3 linked regions of the Canis lupus familiaris genome follow. The protein of the gene in region 1 interacts with the protein of each later gene in a pairwise test. Links are inferred from orthologs where the notes say so. Each region holds a gene or a part of one and is shown in the gene's direction. Other genes may lie near its edges. The genes, in order: RNF11, WWP2 and UBQLN2.

What was found.
Region 2: the proteins of RNF11 (region 1) and WWP2 interact in binary tests that used the Homo sapiens proteins (3 or more experiments, as listed by UniProt). The link is inferred for Canis lupus familiaris from reciprocal best matches to the Homo sapiens genes RNF11 and WWP2.
Region 3: the proteins of RNF11 (region 1) and UBQLN2 interact in binary tests that used the Homo sapiens proteins (3 or more experiments, as listed by UniProt). The link is inferred for Canis lupus familiaris from reciprocal best matches to the Homo sapiens genes RNF11 and UBQLN2.

What each region holds. Positions count from the first base shown.
Region 1 is NC_049236.1:9,997,966-10,001,192, reverse strand, and holds the end of RNF11 (RING finger protein 11), read left to right. Parts: intron 1-422; coding exon 423-594; 3' UTR 595-2,660; downstream 2,661-3,227. UniProt on the Homo sapiens protein: Essential component of a ubiquitin-editing protein complex, comprising also TNFAIP3, ITCH and TAX1BP1, that ensures the transient nature of inflammatory signaling pathways. Promotes the association of TNFAIP3 to RIPK1 after TNF stimulation.
Region 2 is NC_049226.1:80,386,076-80,389,229, reverse strand, and holds the end of WWP2 (NEDD4-like E3 ubiquitin-protein ligase WWP2), read left to right. Parts: intron 1-134; coding exon 135-207; intron 208-654; coding exon 655-754; 3' UTR 755-2,629; downstream 2,630-3,154. UniProt on the Homo sapiens protein: E3 ubiquitin-protein ligase which accepts ubiquitin from an E2 ubiquitin-conjugating enzyme in the form of a thioester and then directly transfers the ubiquitin to targeted substrates.
Region 3 is NC_049260.1:48,015,244-48,018,997, forward strand, and holds the start of UBQLN2 (ubiquilin-2), read left to right. Parts: upstream 1-1,602; 5' UTR 1,603-1,891; coding exon 1,892-3,754. UniProt on the Homo sapiens protein: Plays an important role in the regulation of different protein degradation mechanisms and pathways including ubiquitin-proteasome system (UPS), autophagy and the endoplasmic reticulum-associated protein degradation (ERAD) pathway.

The sequences.
Region 1 (3,227 bases):
ACATAGTTATTAAAATGAAAACTGTCTTACTCCTGGGTGTACATTAAAAACTGAGTTCATGTAAACAGAGTTGATCTGATGGCTTCCTACCTGAAGCATCACATTCTTTGGGTGTCTTGTATAATATGTAGCTATTTTACAAGTGCAGTTCTAGGAATGGACCTGATCCCCACGTGGCCCATTTCTCTTTGCTCTGTTGATAGCTCTCAAACCCATGAATTTCCAGCGGATCAAAATGAGAGATTGCTGATGGATTAATGCTTATTAGGAAAAATCAGTTTGCATGCTTTGGTAGGATGACAAGCAAGCCATTTTCATCTGTTCGGATTAACAGTCTTTGTAATGGGATTTTAAAGAGTATTCTAGATACATCACTTCTCTAAAAAATGCTTTCTGATTTCTCTCTCCCTCACCCCCAACAGGTGTGTTATCTGTATGATGGACTTTGTTTATGGGGACCCAATTCGATTTCTGCCGTGCATGCACATCTATCACCTGGACTGTATAGATGACTGGTTGATGAGATCCTTCACGTGCCCCTCTTGCATGGAGCCAGTTGATGCAGCACTGCTTTCGTCCTACGAGACTAATTGAGCCAGGGTCTCTGGTCTGACTTCAAGTGAACCATCATTTTTTGGTGGTTTTGATCTTTTGTCACTGAGCCCAAAGAGTCAGGGATTAGGAATTAAGATCATGCACAAAAGTTTCCTAAAAATTCCTGAATGGCTGCAGATGTTGGGGAAAAAAATATGTGATATTTTAGAAACTTAGGGGGAAAAGTAGGATGGTATTTTTATGTAAAGCCTTGACCCAGTGTTTAAAAATATAATTGTATTTAGATCTTGTTATGCTCCAGTACATAGGAATTGTGTAAAGTGTTACAGCAGCTGTATATGTTTAAATTGTGTGTGTTGAAGATTAGGAAAAAGATAGTGGTTGTTTTTCCTAAATGAAATAACTCTCTTTTTCCCCCCCACCCAAATTCTTTTCTGAAGTTGCTGGCATTTGGGTCAAGGTTTTATTAAAAGCTACATTTTATAACACTGGCACAAAAAAAAAGTAGTTTTAAGCTTGTTTGCACAGTTCTTTTTTTCCATTGGAAATGGAATTCATTGCCTTAGGTCTTTTTAAATAGTGTATTATTATCGTTGGGGCTGGCTCTATGCTTGAAAACCAGTTTATTTATAACCTGTTATAAGTGCTATATCTGTTTGCAGTTAGGAAATGCAGAATTCAAAGTGATCTCCTAGCTTGTAAGCAAACTGAGATGCACTATCCCTTTTCTATAAACACTGAGTTAATGTCAAGAAACCAACTCTAGTAAAGTGGGGTTTACTGTTACCCTTTCCTGTGTGTTTTATCTAATTACTTTGGTTGTTAATATGGTAATAATTAAAAGTCAAGGTAAATTTTAAATATTAAGATTTCTGATTTATGGAGCTTGAATTATGCCACCATGCTTATGTAAAATGAAAGTGGCACCATGGTGAAACTGAGAAAAGTTGCTCAGTTCTAACAGTTTTGATTTATTCTTTCTTGCGACCTCCTTCCCTTATTGTCTTGAACCATAGCAAAAGGATACTGCATCTCTTATTATTGTAGTGCTGAGGTTATTGAAGTTATATAAAACACATCTCAGTCTGTTTCTTTGAAAGGAAAAGTCCTGCTGGCTGACAAGTCTAAGCAGGGAGAATTAAGATAAACGTATTCATGTTTTGCACACAAACGCAGAATTTGTATAACCATATGACTTCATAGTTGTGATCTCAAAGAGGGAATTTCTCCTTTATCTTTCTTGCAGTTAATGTAAGAACACTCTGAATCTCTAAGCTTCTGAAGTGTTAGAGGTGTTAGAGGTATAGATGGTTTAGTAAAGATGTAGTTTGTAATGTTTTATCCATTTAGCATGTGTTTATTTTTCCTTATGTACTCAGAGGTGACTTATTTGTTCAGCTCAGTGATATTATACAGCTAAGTATATCATTCATTAGCAAAAGGAGAAGCAATCTCAATCTAACATCAGAAATGTTTATTTAATATTGAGTTGAATATTTGACTCTAACACTTTTCTACATACAAAACACAAGTATCTTGAGGGTTCTTCAAAATTGCATTGTAGAGGAATTCAGTATGTCATAAATACTTAAAGATTTGACACTAGACTGTAGTATCCATATGTTGGTTAATTTTCTTATGAGCCCCATGATGGAAAGACTTAAAGATGAATTTGAGAAAAACTGAAAATTAGATTATCAGGTTCTGTTAAATTGTTACATGTATCTTGCTTAAGTTTTTGTTCATTAATTTATATCCACTCAATTACATAAAGCAAATTTGGAGGAAACACCTGAAGTTGTGCAATATTTTCATAGATATTACTTTTTTTATCCTTGTGTTTTCTACTTATACATGTCTGACTTTCCTTTTTTCTAGATTGTTAAAATTGGTAAGTGAACTTTTAAAAACTAATGTTGCTGTTAGTCTTTATTGCAAGGCTTCTTTCACAGAAGTTTGGCAGTAATAGTGAAGGAACTAGAATTGAGCTGAAAAAAAATTTTTAAGGTACTTTGTATTCTTTAATTTTGATTTCCATACACCATGTTAAGAACTATCAATTTTGGCTTTTACTAAGTTAAATAAAGTTATAATACAGTTGTAAAGGGCTACAGTTAGAGTTGTTTACGTAAGAATATTCCCCAAATTATCTAATCCTTTCTTTTAAATGGTGTATAATTTTAATCTCTAAGTTTATAAACTTGGGAAGTATTTTTTATGTGGCATTTAATACCATCTAATCATAAATTTAGAAGCTTGATAGCTTCAGATTTTCTGAAGCCAAATAATAGGTGCAACATTTCGATTTAGGGAAGATGCATTCAAGGTTGGCTATAGGATTTGAAATGTCTGAAAAGCCTGACCAGGAAAAAGTAAAAGAAATCTTAAGTGTAAACCTAGAAGTTAGTTGAAATACTTCGGTTCACAAAAACCTTTTCAATTCTGAGTGTTCTTTATAGAGAATGTCTTAAACCAGGAAAAGATTTCCTCCTGTTGGTGTCCCCTACATAAGCCCGTATGATTTTACAGAGTACGGTGAGCATTGGGCTAACTTTCTTTGCACACAAAGCCTGGTCATAAGGAAGCACATATTTTACAAAGGAATAATAGTCAAAAGCAGACCTGCCTAGATTTCTGAGACTGAAATGGTAAGCAGTGAAGAAGGTAAGTTT
Region 2 (3,154 bases), on another chromosome or scaffold:
GCCCTAGGGTGGGCCTGAGGGCAGTGGCTCGGGTGAGTCAGTGGGTGAGGCCTGAGGCTCCTGTGGGTGGAGCCGGGGCCCTGCCCTACGAAGGGGCCGTCCTTTGTATATGAAGAGCTTCTCTTCGGATACAGGGAGCAACGGACCACAGAAGTTTTGCATCGACAAGGTTGGCAAGGAAACCTGGCTGCCCCGGAGCCACACGTGGTGAGCGTTTTGGTGTTTCTGGGAGGTGGCCAGAACCTCACAGCCCCGACGAGCCCGGCGGGTGGGGCGGCCTCAGGGACTCTGGCAACCTCCTGGGGTTGGAGAAGAGGCGCCCCGAGGCTTTTTGGGAGTTGCGGCAGCAGTTGCTCGCCCTCACCCTCGTGGCCTTCCCAGCTATTAAATATTCCACCGTTTCTGTTCCGGTAAACAGAGGGCTGCCTCCCCCTTTCTCCTACTGCCCTGCCTCCTGACCACCCGAGGTCCAGGGACAGGAAGCATTAAGGCCTCACGTAACAGGGCCCTCAAGGGCTCCACTCTGCCTTCTAGCCCCTTGGCACTGTGGTCAAGCCACAGTCACGTGAATGACTCTGAGCCCTCCCCGCACGGCAGCCAGGCTGGGAGCCCTGACCTCCCTGGGCTGACTGTCCTGCTTCCCTCTCTCAACAGTTTCAACCGTCTGGATCTCCCACCGTACAAGAGCTATGAACAGCTGCGAGAGAAGCTGCTGTACGCCATCGAGGAGACTGAGGGCTTTGGACAGGAGTAACTGAGGCTGCCCCTTCCCACACCCCCCGGCGCACATGTAGTCATGAGTTCTTCCTGCCGGGGAGGCCGGTGGCCACAGAGCTCCCGGGAGGCTCCCCCCACCGCCCCAGGTGGCAGCCGTGCGTGGGACCACACTGTCCTCAGGCTGGTGGTAGCAGAGCCTGACCTCAGGAGGCCTGTCTGCCTCCCCCCACCCCCCCACCGGTGGCAGTCTGGAATAAAGCCCCCATGTCACCTTTGGTCCCGTCACCCACTGCAGAGTCTGGAGGCCTGACCCTCGCAGTCAGCTCTTCCCCCTTCCGCCCCGAGACCAGACCAGCCGTAGGCAGCATGAGAATGTGAGGGGGCGCCCTGTGCCCAGGGCTGCTGCAGGAGGCCTGGTTCTCGTGTGCTAGTGAGGCAGCAGGGAGCCCGGCCACCCACTCAGGCTGGCTCTTCTGGGCCCAGAAGGCCCAGGGTCTTTGCCAGTCAAGGACGTTCTGTTTTTGATAGAACTTTTCCAGTGATCTGTATACGATGGAGGTCTGAGGGAGAGGACGTCTTCCCGCACCCGGAGAGAGCACTGGGTCTGGGCGGCCACTCCCTGTCCCAGGGGGATCCAGCCCCCGAGGCTGAGCGGTGAAGCCCATCTCTGCACTCAGTGCGGGACCCTTTGTCCTTTCCTGCAAATAAAGTGTTGTACCAGCTGCTAGGGTGGCAGCGGCTTGGAAACAACAAACCCCCTCAGACTTTCTTTGCCCTTTCACATCAACTCGAAGCATTCTGTGTGTAGGGTGACTTTGTGTTTTGATGTCGGTGTGCTGCTATCCCTTTGTGTCCAGGAGCTGGTATGCCAGGTGTCGCTGGGACCTTGAGGGATCTGGCACCAGTGGTCCAAGGACTTCCCCAACAGCTGCTCCTCTTAGGAACCCGCTTAGCAGTTCTGGGAGCTCAGGCGGGCCTTGCCCTGCAGCCCAGCCTCCCAGTGGCCCAGTCTCCAAGCCTTGACAGAGGGGAGGGGGGGAGGGTCCCAGGTGTCACCCAACCTTTGATGGAGAACTCCCATTGCTAGATGTAGTTTCTAGGCAGCCCCAAGTGATGGAGCATGTGGGGGTGGGTGACCCTGTCACTCTGTCACTCTCCAGTGGCCCTTAAGGCTTCAGGCAGGTCCGTTAGTCTCCTGTTGAGAATTCAGTGTGTCCCAGCCACCCTAGGGCATGTCCATCCTGCCTGGAAGGGCGGCTTTATCTGGACACGGAAGGTGACGGTCTTGGAGACCAGCAGAACGGAGTTCCCACCAGCCTCCGACATGGGCATTCCGTGGCGTGCGGCGATCGGCAAGCAGAACATGCTCCTCTGGGATGCTGGAGGGGTTGCTCAAGCTCTCCAGTCTGGGCCCTCGGGCTCCAGCCCTGAGCACCGACGACAGACTAGCTTGAGCCTCCTAGGACCCTAGGCAGGCCCACTGACCTCTGTAGGGCAGTGTCACATCCCCAGATCCTGGTCCTTCCTTCCCCCCACTCCCCCCCACCCCCGGGCCACAGAGGGAGGGAGAGCCTGTGTCCACTGTGTTGCATTTGCTGATTTGAGTGGCTCAGCTCACTGGAGCTCAACCTTTTTTCTTTTCCTCGAGTCATTTGCTGTGCTTCCCTGCAATATTCCACACTACTGGGGGGTTGGGGTACCAGCTGCTGTGTGGGGTCTGGAAACCCGCGACTCATGGCTGTTCAGAGTGTGTTCATGTGTGTGTGTGCGTGTGTACATACATGTATGTAACCGAGGTGTCGTGTAGAATGTCCTTTGGTAGCTCTGGGTTGGTTGACAGATGGTTTTGTGATACTTAACCCCCTTGCCTTGGTATTGCCAGTTTCTCGTGCAATAAACAATCAGCAGCTGTGGGTGGTGTTGGCGTGGATGTCTGCAAAATCGCTGTCCTCAGATGAGAGGCCTCTGGGTGCCCCAAACCCTTCAGGCAGGCCCCCATTGGGGTGGAAGTTCCGTGACTTGCTGCTTTTAGGAATGTGTAACTGAGACAGTCATATTACTTCTGGCTGGCTGAGTCCCTGTGCAGGGATCTCTGGGGTGGCTCTTGGTCAGGGTTTCCTCACTGCACCCTTTGGACGCCAGGCCAGTCTTTCTATGTCTATGAACAGTTGTCGCTGCGGAGCCAGAATACGAACAGCTGTGGCTGCAGGTTGGGTGGGTTTTGGAAGCCAGCTCCTGGGGACAGTGTCTAGGCAGTCGTTCATTGGAGAAACATTTACTGAGTCCCATGATGATAGAGGGATGCTATGATCTCAAGCTAAATCATCACATAAGGTCTTGCCACCCACTTTTTTTGAACACTTAAGGATTCAGATGGGATGGATCACCATGCTATGGTGTCTTGATGCACAGGACATGGAAATGACGTTTGCCAAGC
Region 3 (3,754 bases), on another chromosome or scaffold:
TCTCCAAAAATGCCTTCTGATTTTTAAAAACTTCTAAATGTACTGCATTCTTTTTAAAAGTTATCAGAAAAATTTAAATTTTATTTTTAAAATGAAAGCATAATTTCAGCACTAAGTAATATCCACAATTAATATATCAGTGCATACACACTTAAAGAGAATTTACCTATACAAACTGTTTAAAAATAGTTTTAAATAAAAATATATTTATTGTATCTTTTGGTCTTTTGGTATTGAAACATATCCTTGAATAATTTCTAACTATCCAGAAATATACAAAGCTGAAAGTGAAAATACTGCTATTTCCCTATAACTACTATTTATTTCATTTTTTAAAAAGATTTTATTTTTTAATTTATTCATGAGAGACACAGAGAGAGGCAGAGACATAGGCAGAGGGAGAAGCAGGCTCCCTGTAAGGAACCCAATGCAGAACTTGATCCTAGGACCCTGGGATCATGCCCTTAGCAGAAGGCAGATACTCAATTGCTGAGCTACCCAGGGATCCCTATTTAATGCATATCTTTATACTTTATATCAGGTGAATTAATCACCGATTTTTTACACAAAGTATTTTATTATGTGGTAATATCATAATATATTTTATCAACCCTGTGTAAGCACACTGATTATCTTTATTTTTTTATTTTTTAAAGATTTTATTTATTTATTCATGAGAGACAGAGAGAGAGAGAGAGGAGAGACACAGGCAGAGAGAAGCAGGCTCCTTGCAGGGATCCCGACAGGGGACTCGATACTGGCACCTCAAGCCCTGAGTCAAAGGCAAACGCTCAACTGCTGAGCCACCCAGGCATCCCTGATTATCTTTAAAAATAATTTTAAGATGCTGCAGTGCATATACATCTTATACATATATATTTTTGCATCCTTATCTACTTTCATAGAAGTGTCTAAAGAAGGTATTTCTAAATAAAAATGGAAATATTTAAAATGTTGATACATATTTTCAAATTGCCTTACACTTATAACAATTTACACTTCAACTGATAAGAGTGCATTTTCTCAGCTCACTGATGATAAGGTTTATCATTATTTTCCTTTTTCCAATATGATAAAGCAGAAGTAGAATCTCACTATCTTAATTGAATTTCTTTGATTACTAGTAAGCTTAAGCATCCATTTTTATGCTCATTGGCCATTTGGGTTTCTTTTGTAAAATGCATGCTCTGGCCCAGTCTGCTCCCCTTCCCCCACTCTGGCTGTTAGTCTTTTCCTTTTGCTTAGTCAGAGTTCTTTTTCATTTTTCGTCTTTTACATGGGGTGAGTTTGATTCAGGCTTTCATCCTTTCTTGCCTGACAGACTTTATATATATTTTTATATATAATATATTCTACATGGGTCTTTTAATGTCCTCAGAAGCTAGCTCCTTTTCTCTCTCCCTTCCTCCTTCCCTCTCTTTTGTCTTCTCTGTTCTCTTTGTTTCTTTCTGTCTTTGTTTTTCTCTCTCTCCCTCTCTCTTTATTTTTTCCAGTACAGAAGTTTTTAATTTTGAACGAGTCGAATCTATCATTTTCGGCCTGGCGCCGCGTCAGCAGAGGGGGCGGGGAGGCGAGCGCGGAACTGGGGGAGGGGACAGGGCGGGGAGGAGCGGGCAGAGCAGCTGCAGGAGTTGCTGGGAGCGCGCGCGGTGCGATCACTCGGCGTCGGAGGAGGCCCAGAGACCTGAACGCAGACGCTTCTCCCGCGGCCTACAGCGTCTTCTCCCCACCGGAGGACCAGGAAACCGCAGTTCTCATCACAGAGGTACCGTGCTCTGCGCTCCCCGCCCGGCTCAGCCTGCTGTGGTGGCGCCTCCTTCCTTCCTTCTTCCCTCGCTCTCTTTCTCGCCCGCCCGCGCCTTCTCTGTCTGCCTGCGTCACCGCGGCCGCCATGGCTGAGAACGGCGAGAGTAGCGGCCCCCCGCGCCCCTCCCGCGGCCCTGCCGCGGCCCAAGGCCCTGCCTCTGCCCCGGCCGAGCCCAAAATCATCAAAGTTACTGTGAAGACCCCCAAAGAGAAAGAGGAGTTCGCGGTGCCCGAGAATAGCTCAGTCCAGCAGTTTAAGGAAGCGATTTCAAAACGCTTCAAATCCCAAACCGACCAGCTAGTGTTGATTTTTGCCGGAAAAATCTTAAAAGATCAAGATACCTTGATTCAGCATGGCATCCATGATGGACTGACTGTTCATCTTGTAATTAAAAGCCAGAACCGACCTCAGGGCCAGTCCACACAGCCTAGTAATGCCGCGGGAACTAATACTACCTCCGCGTCGACTCCCAGGAGTAACTCCACATCTGTTTCCACAAATAGCAACCCGTTTGGGCTGGGGAGCTTAGGAGGACTTGCAGGCCTTAGCAGCCTGGGCTTGAGCTCGACCAACTTCTCTGAGCTCCAGAACCAGATGCAGCAGCAGCTCCTGTCCAGCCCTGAGATGATGATTCAAATCATGGAAAATCCCTTTGTTCAGAGCATGCTTTCAAATCCCGATCTAATGAGGCAGCTCATTATGGCCAATCCACAGATGCAGCAGTTGATTCAGAGAAATCCAGAAATCAGTCACCTGCTCAACAACCCAGATATAATGAGACAGACCCTGGAAATTGCCAGGAATCCAGCCATGATGCAAGAGATGATGAGAAATCAAGATTTGGCTCTCAGCAATCTTGAAAGCATCCCAGGTGGCTACAATGCTCTACGACGCATGTACACTGATATTCAAGAACCCATGCTGAATGCTGCACAAGAGCAGTTTGGGGGTAATCCATTTGCCTCGGTGGGAAGCAGTTCCACCTCTGGGGAAGGTACACAACCTTCCCGCACAGAAAATCGAGATCCACTACCCAATCCATGGGCACCACCACCGGCTACCCAGAGTTCTGCAACCACCAGCACAACCTCCAGCAGTGGCAGTGGCTCTGGCAGTAGCTCCAGCAGTGCTACTGGGAACACCGTGGCTGCAGCCAACTATGTTGCCAGCATCTTCAGTACCCCAGGAATGCAGAGCTTGCTGCAACAGATAACTGAAAACCCTCAACTGATCCAGAATATGCTGTCTGCACCCTACATGAGAAGCATGATGCAGTCGCTGAGCCAGAATCCAGATTTAGCTGCACAGATGATGCTGAATAGCCCGGTGTTTACTGCAAATCCTCAGTTGCAGGAGCAGATGCGTCCACAGCTCCCAGCTTTCCTGCAGCAGATGCAGAATCCAGACACACTATCAGCCATGTCAAACCCAAGAGCAATGCAGGCTTTAATGCAGATCCAGCAGGGGCTACAGACATTAGCCACTGAAGCTCCTGGCCTCATTCCAAGCTTCACTCCAGGTGTGGGGGTAGGGGTGCTGGGAACCGCTATAGGCCCTGTAGGCCCAGTCACACCCATAGGCCCCATAGGCCCCATAGTCCCATTTACTCCCATAGGCCCCATTGGGCCCATAGGACCCACCGGCCCTGCAGGCCCTGGCTCTACTGGCTCTGGAGGCCCCCCTGGGCCCACTGTTTCTAGCTCTACACCCACCGAAACCACTAGCCCAACATCAGAATCTGGACCCAACCAGCAGTTCATTCAGCAAATGGTGCAGGCTCTGGCTGGGGCAAGTCCTCCACAGCTGCCGAATCCAGAAGTCAGATTTCAGCAACAACTGGAACAGCTCAACGCAATGGGGTTCTTAAACCGTGAGGCAAACTTGCAGGCTCTAATAGCAACAGGAGGCGACATCAATGCTGCCATTGAAAGGCTGCTGGGCTCCCAG